Caenorhabditis elegans: one gene and its partner. The main gene of each other region encodes a partner of the protein of the gene in region 2 in a complex. Each region holds a gene or a part of one and is shown on either strand. Other genes may lie near its edges.

Region 1 (6,349 bases), on a different chromosome or scaffold from region 2:
CCTCCAGGAGAGCGGGAAATCCTCGAAGCGGAGAAATGTGCGGGAGCTTTTCTGGAAAAATCGATTTTTTAATAAAAAAACTATTTTTTAGAGCTACCTTGAGCATTTCCTGATATTTCTGCTCAACTTCGTCGAGCATTGTCTCCTCCTGTCCCTTTAAATCCTGTTTTCTCTTTTTCAGAAGCCGCTTCTCCTTCAACGCTTTTCTGACACTTGGATCCTGCTCGCCATCGAAATTTCGTTTTCTTTTATTATTTCCAGCCCATTTCTGTGCTCCGCCGCCTTTTCCGTTTGTGTGAGGCATTGAAAACGCTGAAAATTGGGTAAAAATATTTAAAAATTGCAGGAAAAATCGTGCGCGGCAGTTGCGAAAAAAGCGTGCCAGGGTTGCATTCTGACTCCGCCCACAATTTTTCTTAATTTTTAATTGAGAAAAAATTAATTTTTTTTAAAAATATAATAATTGGAGATTAAAACCAAGAAATTCGAGGGAATAGATCAATTTTAACTCAAAATAATATTTATTTATGAAAAAAAAAACAATTAAAAGCCACCGAAAATTGATCTTAAATATGGAAAAAATGGAAAAAACAGAAAATCACCACCGCGTAATTTTAGAATTTGATAAATTTTAAAGGTTTTCCGAACTGCATAGGCTTAAATTCGTCATTTAAACTCTAAAATTAGGCGGTTTTCAACAGGAACGAGTAGGAAAAAGGGGGAAACGGTCTTTTTTTGGCAAATACGATCGCCCGGGAAACAGGAAGAAAACGAAAACGTAGAACAAATTAAAAATCGTAGGTGAAGCCGAGGTAGTCCTCGTCGAACTCTTGAATTCTGATGTAACCTGGAAAAAAATCAATAATTTTTGAATTTTTATATGAAAAATCCTCAAATCGCACTGCAACTTTTTTTTGAACGAGGGACGAGGAAATGCGGTTTCTAGGCCATGGCCGAGGATCCGACAAGATTTATCGGCAATTTATCTTGCAATGTTTTCCGCGAGTTTTCTTTTATTTTTCACCGATTTTTCCCCCGTTTTTTTCTTATTAAAACTGATAAATAAATTTTTTTAAAACCAGATGCTAAAATAATTTCCAAGTGAAAAAAATTGTGAATTCAGCCGGCAAGTAGCGGTGAAAGTGGTCAATGTAATATGATGGATTACGGGAATACTAAACACTAAACTTTTTTCGAAACATGATACATATGCTGCTTAGAGGCTGAAACTACCTGATTTTAATAACGAGACCGCTGAAAAAGTTTTTTGAGATTTTCAAAATTCAACATTTTGTGGAAAAATCTCGACTTTTTCGCCAAAAAGGTTGAATTTTGAAAATCTCAAAACTTTTTCAGCGGTCTCGTTATTAAAATCAGGTAGTTTCAGCATCTAAGCAGCATTTATAGCATGTTTTGGAAGAAAGTTTAGGTTTAGTATTCCCGTAATCCATCATATTACATTGACCACTTCCACCGCTACTTGCCGGCTGAATTCACAATTTTTTCACTTGAAAATTATTTTAGCATCTGCAAAAACAATATTTCTTCATCAGTTTTAATAAGAAAAAACGGGGGAAACATCGGTGAAAAATAAAAGAAAAAACGCGGAAAACAAAGCAAGATAAATTGCTGATAAATCTTGTCGGATCCTCGGTCATGGCCTAGAAACCGCATTTCCTCGTCCCTCGTTCAAAAAAAAAGTTGCAGTGGAATCCCCATACCGTCTTCTCCTCCAGTCGCGATAATTGTGCCCGATGGATGCCAGGCCATCGTGTTAATCGGTCCGAAATGTCCCTTGAATCTGGCGAATTCCTCTTCGAACACCATATGATAGATCTTGGCTTCAAAGTGTCCAGCAGAGACAGACGTCTGTGTGACCTGCATCGCGTCTTCTCCTCCTCCAAGGCAAATGTGATCGCGATTCGGTGAGATGCATGCCGAGTTGACGGGACGCTCGGATTTGTATTGTTTCAGCTTTTTCAGATCGTTCACGTCGAGCAGGGCGGCCGTCTTGTCGCGTGAAGCGGAGATCAGGAAATCGCCGCGTGGTGATAGTTGGAGATCTTGGACGCTGTACTGAAATTTTGGGAAATTTTTTTTTTGAAATTATTTTAGAAATCACGGAGGCACCACGGATTAAAGATCTCGTCGAATTCCGGATCTGGCACCGTGCCAACTGCAGTTTTCGCAGTTTTCTCGAAGAAAAATGTGGTTTTTTTTTAAATTTTCTTCAGGAAAAACGCTAAACAACACGCGATGCGTAACATCGGAGCATCGTTGTCAGGATTTTTTCCAGAAAAATTGCGTTAATTTTTTTTGAGTTGGTACGGTGCCAGATCCGGAATTCCACAAGATCTTGAATTTCGTGGAGCCTCGGTCTTATAATCATTGGAGCGCGCTTGCTGACACCTCACGAACTCCCGAATTCGCGGAATTTTGTTTCCACGGGAAATAAGGTTTTTTTGCTAATTTTGGTTTCTATGGAAATTAATATAAATTTTTGATGGATATTGTTGTTGGGAAGCTTTATACGACTCGAAAACGCGTAAAATTTAAGGTTTTACATCAAAAATCGGGAGTTTTTTGATTTCAGAATTTTAAAATATACATTTTTTGTAGAGAAAAATACAGTTTTAATTGATTTAATTGGTTTTTTCATTGAAAAAAATTAGAATAATCAAAATAATCAATCACTGCCGGATTTTGCTGCTTTTTCTCTTCAAAATGAGATTTTCACGGCTTTCAAATCGAAAAAACTGCCGATTTTGTTCCATTTTTCGAGAAAACTAAATTATTTCTTCGAATTTTTGGTTTTAATCTTGTGTGCGGAGTCAGGATGCAACCCTGGCACGCCTTCTTCGCAACTGTGCCGCGCACGGTTTTTTAATGCGAAATTTCGCCAATTTTCCAAATTGTACACACTTTCGGCTCTAATAATGTTTCCCCACAACAATAAAAACCAAAAATTAGCAATAAAATTTCCGCCAATTCAGGAGATCGTAAAGTGTCAGCAAGCGCTCCAGAGAACAACGAAAAAATGACGAACACGATGAACACTCTCGTTAGTGTGAATTGGTGTATCCGGATTTCTCAAATCGTACTGCTGAAGGAGTCCAGACTCGAATCCGATCGTCACGAGGTCATCCATCTGAGTGAAAAGTGCGGTCGTGGCGTTCACATCGAATTGTGAGTAGAAGAATGACTCTCCACCCTCAACCATTTGACTTGAATCACGAAGATCTCGGACTTGGAACGTCGAGAGATTCTTTGTCATCTTTTGTGTGGTGAAGCACACCAAATTTCCTGAATACGAGAATCCGCACGACTTCATCGGAGTCTGATGGTTGATTGTGTAGAGGCAGTTGCCGAGCTCGGCATCCCAAATCTTCACGGTGAGGTCTCCGGACGCGGTGACACACTTGGTAGTGTCCCATGAGACGTCGATATCCCACACGGCTCCGTTATGCCCGTCGTAGCTACCTGAAAAGAAAAATAATAAATAAATATATTTAAAAGGTGGAGTAGCGTCAGTGGGAAAATTGCTTTAAAACATGCATATGGTACCACAGTGACCGAATATCATGATTAAAAATTTCAAAAAAATTTTCTAAATTTTATATGATTTTTTGAAAAATTGAAAAAAATCTCAGTTTTTGCCTAATTCCAATTTTAATTACCGCCAATTGGATTTGTTCGATGGAGCGCGCTTGCACGTTTTAAAATTTATTTATTTTATTTTTTGTTATTTTCCAACGATTTTTAATGTTTTCGATGTATTTTTGCTTGAATTTTAGAGAAAAAGTCAAAATAATTGCAAATTTTCGATTAAAAAGCACGCTTAGAGGCGTAAAAAATGAAAAGTAACGCTTTTAAACGATTTCGAACCTGAATTAATAAATTTCACTGATTTACGCCTGTAAGCGTGCTTTTTAATTGAAAATTTGCAATTCTTTTGACTTTTTCTCTAAAATTCAAGCAAAAATACACCGAAAACATTAAAAATCGGTGGAAAATAACAATAAATAAAATAAATAAATTTAAAAACGTGCAAGCGCGCTCCATCGAACAAATCCAATTGGCGGTAATTAAAATTGAAATTAGGCAAAAACTGAGATTTTTTCAATTTTCAAAAAATCATATAAAATTTAGAAAATTTTTTTGAAATTTTTAATCATGATATTCGGTCATTGTGGTACCATATGCATGTTTTAAAGCAATTTTCCCACTAGCGCTACTCCACCTTTAATTCTGCGAAAATTTTTCGCGAAAATATTCAAAAATACCGATTCTCTCTCCATTTTCAGTATACCAAACGCATGGCTTCTTGTCCTTAGCACAGGAGAACGTCAAATCTCCCTCACGATTGAAACGGACCCGAGTGAGAGCACGTTCGTGGCCTTTCAGCGAAAGTGGACGCATTTCTGAAAGAAATCCCCTATTTTTGAAGGTTTCTGCGAGAAATTGGTGGAATATTCGGCAGTTTTGATTATAAAATGAATTATTGGCTTAATTATTAATAAATTCCATTAAAAAAATGAAAATTAGAAGCCAGAAAACATGGGAAATATTCGAAAAATAAGCGAAAAAACAACAAGAAATAGGATTTGGCTCAACCTCCGCAATTTGGCGTGACAGTGTTTGCGGACTTGCGTACCGTACCCCCGCGCAGAATAATCGACATCAGCTGACGAAATTTCGATTTTCAGCAATTTTCAGCAATTTCGAGTGGTTTTCAGTAGTTTTCAACAATTAAAAAGTGAATTTTATCAAATTTTTAGCAATATATTAATTAAAAACTCAAATTTTAACATGTTCCACCACAAATAACTGCTAAATTTCGCAACTCTCAATTCTCATCGATTTTTTTGCGAAAGCTTCACCGAATCCAGTTTTCAGAGATCGATAATGTTACAATTACGACTAATAGCTGGCCTACGGAACGCGTCAAACACTATCAGATCGCAGGTATCGTTAAAAAACCCGAGAATTTCCGGTAAAATATTGATTTTCAGGCAGTTTACCGCAGTTTCTCGTCACTGACAAAATCACCAGCACTCATCAGAAATGCCACACAGATTCTTAGTAAAAATGTGGGGTTTTGCGATAATTTGTTGAAAAAAACGTTTTAAAATCCTTAAAAAACATTTTATAGAAATTTCCATGAATTTTTAGGTTAAAAATATGTATTTTCACATTTTTTAAAGCTAATTCCAGAAATTTTTGCCTCGAAAAAGTTAATTTTTAGCCAATTAGAGCGAAAAATAAGCTTGTGGTCTCGAAGCGAAAACTACAGTCTCTAAAGTTAGAATTAAATTTTGCTATGCGCCTTTAAAGCTTTTACGGTAGCTGAGATATCGATTTTTCTCTTTTATAAATTAATTTTTTTCTGAATTTTCTTCAAAAAATTCCATTTTAGGCCTAATATATATCGAAATTTTCACTTTTTCTGCTCAAAAAATATATAATTTCTAAAAAAAAAAGCAGTTTATTTTGAAAAAAAAAACAGAAATTTGTGAAAAAGTTGCTGGAAAGCACCACTGGAACGTGGGAATCTTTCCAGAACTGGAAAAATCTAGCATTTTTCTTAAGAAAAGTCCAGTTTTTCGGGGAAAATTGGATTTTTTCACCTTAAAATCATTTTAAAAAAATGCTTAAAAATCAACAAATGGAATCTGCGAAAATTGGATTTTACCTCGAAAAATATGATTTTCAGTAGAATTTTAATGGAAAAATTGAATTTTCCGTTGAACTTCGTTCAAAGTAGCAACTTTCCGTGCTTAGAATCGTATTTTTAAGCAAAAATACGATGAAATAGCACGTTTTCCAGGAATTGTGTTGTCGCAAGCTTCAAACAATTCTCAAAAATCACAAATTTGAGATGAAGCTCGGAAGCTCCAAAGGAACTTGGAAAGTTGCATTTTTCATCCGAAAAACCCAGTTTTTTGGTGTAAAATTAGGTTTTTACACCCTAAAATCATGAAAAAATGCTCAAAAATCAACTTTATTAGCTCAAAAAGCACCAAAAACGTGTCCCAAATTCGAAAAAAGACATTAAAAAATCAATTAATTCTTCTTCTGAGCTTCTGATCCGAACTCAAAACTGAGTTCTCCTTCGTTATTCTGCTTACATTTCACATTTTGTCCATTATCAAGTTGTCCACTGGCATTCAACTCTAACAGCTCATCGGAGCAAACGAAACCTGCGGTTTACCTCGAAAAATATGAATTTCAGTGGAATTTTAATGGAAAAATTGAATTTTCCGTTGAATTTTGGTCAAAATAGCGATTTTTCGAGCAAAAAATCGTATTTTTAAGCTAAAATACGATGAAATAGCACGTTTTTCAGAAA
Region 2 (3,546 bases):
CACTTGATGGATTCCTCGAGAAAAATGTAGAAAAACCGCAGAATGCCGACTTGCGTGCCATAAAGGTCGTGATCTCAAAAGTTCTGAAGGCCTGCAGCGATGCGGATGGGAACATTTTGAAAATTCAAAACGTTCATCTGGTCAGTATTTTATGGAGAACAAAACTTGTACAAATTGATGTAATAACTCTCTTCACTAGTAAAGTTATAGAGCTGCAAACGTGTTACCATACTTTTGGCCCACCCTGTAAACAAGATAATTTCATTGAAAAATGCAAAATTAAAGAAGTACCATAAACTTATTTGCGCGTCGAGACCAATCTGGATGAATCCATGCGTCTTCGAGAAGACATGCTAAAATCTTTTGAAATTATGATAATATTTCTCGCTAGATCATATTCTTCAGATTATATACTGTTCCACGTCACTTCGATCGGCAATGGTTTGGTGGGCTTTGACACGATCTGGTTACAATGGGAAGATCTATTTTGGCGGGTGGCCTGAATGGGTAGTCAGAGCACCTGACGGTTTGAGAGTCATCGGAGCAACGACGGAGACTTGACGCTAAAAGAAGATCCATGTTAAATATTATATGCATAAAATGCGGGTAAAAGTGAATATTGAATAAAGTTCATGAAAACATAAAGGAAATATAAATAGGAAAGGGAATAGAAACGGGGGAAAACCGAACAACAGAAACAAGGGTATTATAATTTGAATGACAGTGATAATTGATATTAAAGAGTCAACGGGGGTTGAATGCTGGTCAGAAGATCGGCGACATCTGAAAATGATAGATGCACTTGAGATTTTACTAGGCATTTTAAATTTGTTCTTCGATTATTAGGACATTTTTTAAATCGTTTGAAAAACCTAATACGCATAATACTCACGTGGGAATTGAATTTTCTCGTCGATATTTCTTGTTTTGATAGTTCCTTCGTGATTTGCAACAAAGAAAACATCTCCATTTTCCTTGGCTTCCCATCCGAATGATTGTGCCAGTGCGGTAACTTCCTTGTCACTGGCTCCGCCGAGAAGACGGCTCAACATTTTCTTTTCGATTTTTTGGAACGTAACACTGATGACGCGACAAGCATCTGAAAACTTGGTATTGAAATTGTCAAGCAATAAAAATAATATTTAACTGACAGTGCTTGACAGCATCCTCGAATCCGACCATTGGCTTGATCATTTTTGGGACTTCGCCAGGAACTTTGAAGGGTTCATTTGGGTTCGTTGTTGGCTGAAATTTTAAAAATTGATTAGTCGTACGCCGAAATTAAAGAATATTCCAAAAATAAATAGATTCAGCATTGAAATAAATACTGAGTTTCAGATGCACACAAAACAAGGTTTGATTTTGAAAAGCTCACTTGTTTCAATATTAGATAAATCTATTCTTTGAAAAGTGTAAAAACTCACTTTATACGCCCCCTTCACCAATTTCCAGAAAACAGCGAAGTTGCAAGATTCGAGCACAGCTCCAAGATCAAAGATTCTGCGAAGTTCTTGAGATCCGAGTCTGTTGGTGTCGATGAGACACTTGGCGAGAGCGAAATCACTCGATGGCAAAACCATCAACGTCTTGAGCAAAACTTGTCGAACAACAGCCTCGTCGTACCTGTGAAAAATTCTCTTTGAAATTTATTAATCTTCTTGAATACTTACTTCTCCGGGTTAAGCTGGTAGAGCTTGAGAATGGTCAAAACGATATCTTTATCGTACTTGTTTTCATTGACCATAGCTTGAACGCAGGCAGCCAAGTCGGCAACATTTTCCGGATTGTATCGGTTTACTCCTTCGATAGCTTCGTGCAATTCCTTTTGCAGTTTCTCGAACGACATCTTAAAAACAAATTATAGCAATTGAAGAAAAGAAACTCTGCGAGAAATAATAAGTAGAGTGAAACTCCTGAACAGACTCGATGAAGTCCTGCGCAAAGTGAAAAAAATCTTGCATAAAGTTGCGCACATCTTTTGTCAAATCGATTAAAATTACGCTAAGTTTCTCCATTAATTAGAAAAAAAGCTACAGAACACATCAAAACTGATAGAAAAATATTTAAGAGAAAGAAAAAAAATTTTCTCAATCAAAATAACAATAGTTTTAAAGGCGCATCGAATAAATCTGAAGGCATATCCTGCACAGATCTTCCTCGATTTTAGAGGCACTCCCCATTTGGGTTAAGAGATTTCAGTGAACTCGATTTGCTATCAGACAAACTGAAATGGAGACGTTTTTCCAAGTTTTTTTTTCAGTTTTTAATGAGATTTACATTAGAAATAAGAAAAAACTATTGTTAGAGGAAAACTCAGCGTATGGGTTTCGCCACGCTGATATCGGGTTACTGTAACTGGTGTCAAATTAAGGGCCACATTTGCCTCATAATTTTCAAATTAAAGGAAAAATTTCTGTTACGATTTATATAATCAAAATTTAATGCAAAATCCATAAATCGACAAAAGTTACAGTAAGTCGTCGTCTGCGTGGTGAGACCAATGTGCGTAAGATATTGAAAACTCGCATTTAAGGTATACGTAATATGAGGTTTTGCCAGAGAATATAAATATATGAAAATAATTAAGATATGATGACGGAATCAAACCGCTGTATGAACAAAATTGTACAAAATTCAACAGTAGTAAAACAAATTTTTATTATTTTTCTTTACTATCAAAAGTAACTGTAACAGGTCCGTCATTTACAATATCGACGCTCATCATTGCTGCAAATTTGCCGTCCTGAATCTTATCAGCTTTGTAAGCTTTTTTCATGGCTTCAAGAAAAGAAGCATAAAATTTTGAAGCTTCTGTTGGGGCCATTGCGGTATGAAAGTCCAGTTTATTTCCCTAAAAAACGAAATAATATGAATAGTTTTGTTTAAGTATATTAGACAAAACTCACTTTAAACTGACCGTAAAGGGTGAACTGACTGACAGACAGCACTTCTAAATCGAGATCCATAACTGATTTATCCCATGGTTTTTGTTCCGAAGCAGGGAAAACTCGTAGATTCAAAATTTTCCTAATGATATACTTCATATCCTCTTCCGTGTCATCTCGATGAACTCCGACAAGCACACACAGACCTCTTCCAATGGAACCTACCTGATTATGATATTTTAAACAATAACGGTTAATATATTCTTACCACTTCATCACCTACGGTGACTGCAGCTCGAGTAACTCGTTGAAGAACTACCTTCATTTCTGAAAAAAATTGAAACAACTAATGTTAAAAATACAAAAAAAAACAGATGAAAACTATTGAAATGTTCTCTTGAAAACCCTAAAAATAAATGAAAAATGTTTGCTAAACAGAGCGCGCTAACGACACTCCACCGTATTACTAGTCCTCAAAGGCTCGGCCAGCGCGACGTGGAATCTGTACACGGTCTCCTTCACAAGAAATGTACCAACTCTCTCGCGGTTTGCTTGCTGGCCACCTTGCCGTTGTTTTCAACAGGAGTTCTTAAATTTGAGCAGAAATCGATGATACGGTAGACTGTAGCAGCTATAGCCTTGATTGTAGAAAGTGGATGCA

The links. The genes of interacting proteins can lie anywhere in the genome.
Region 1: eif-3.K (region 2) and eif-3.I share a complex: the UniProt entries of both Caenorhabditis elegans proteins name them as parts of the eukaryotic translation initiation factor 3 (eIF-3) complex.

The regions. Positions count from the first base shown.
Region 1 is NC_003279.8:2,483,939-2,490,287, reverse strand, and holds eif-3.I (Eukaryotic translation initiation factor 3 subunit I), read right to left. Parts: upstream 4,428-6,349; 5' UTR 4,420-4,427; coding exon 4,284-4,419; intron 3,481-4,283; coding exon 3,047-3,480; intron 2,077-3,046; coding exon 1,722-2,076; intron 848-1,721; coding exon 789-847; 3' UTR 501-788; downstream 1-500. Other genes in the region: ddx-10 (ATP-dependent RNA helicase), read right to left, coding at 1-51, 98-304; abtm-1 (Iron-sulfur clusters transporter ABCB7, mitochondrial), read left to right, coding at 4,906-4,965, 5,013-5,090. UniProt on the Caenorhabditis elegans protein: Component of the eukaryotic translation initiation factor 3 (eIF-3) complex, which is involved in protein synthesis of a specialized repertoire of mRNAs and, together with other initiation factors, stimulates binding of mRNA and methionyl-tRNAi to the 40S ribosome.
Region 2 is NC_003283.11:12,952,302-12,955,847, reverse strand, and holds eif-3.K (Eukaryotic translation initiation factor 3 subunit K), read right to left. Parts: upstream 1,847-3,546; coding exon 1,671-1,846; intron 1,624-1,670; coding exon 1,425-1,623; intron 1,246-1,424; coding exon 1,152-1,245; intron 1,100-1,151; coding exon 893-1,099; intron 784-892; coding exon 737-783; 3' UTR 619-736; downstream 1-618. Other genes in the region: mpst-7 (Rhodanese domain-containing protein), read left to right, coding at 406-561; pqn-68 (D-aminoacyl-tRNA deacylase), read right to left, coding at 2,660-2,851, 2,907-3,110, 3,154-3,210. UniProt on the Caenorhabditis elegans protein: Component of the eukaryotic translation initiation factor 3 (eIF-3) complex, which is involved in protein synthesis of a specialized repertoire of mRNAs and, together with other initiation factors, stimulates binding of mRNA and methionyl-tRNAi to the 40S ribosome.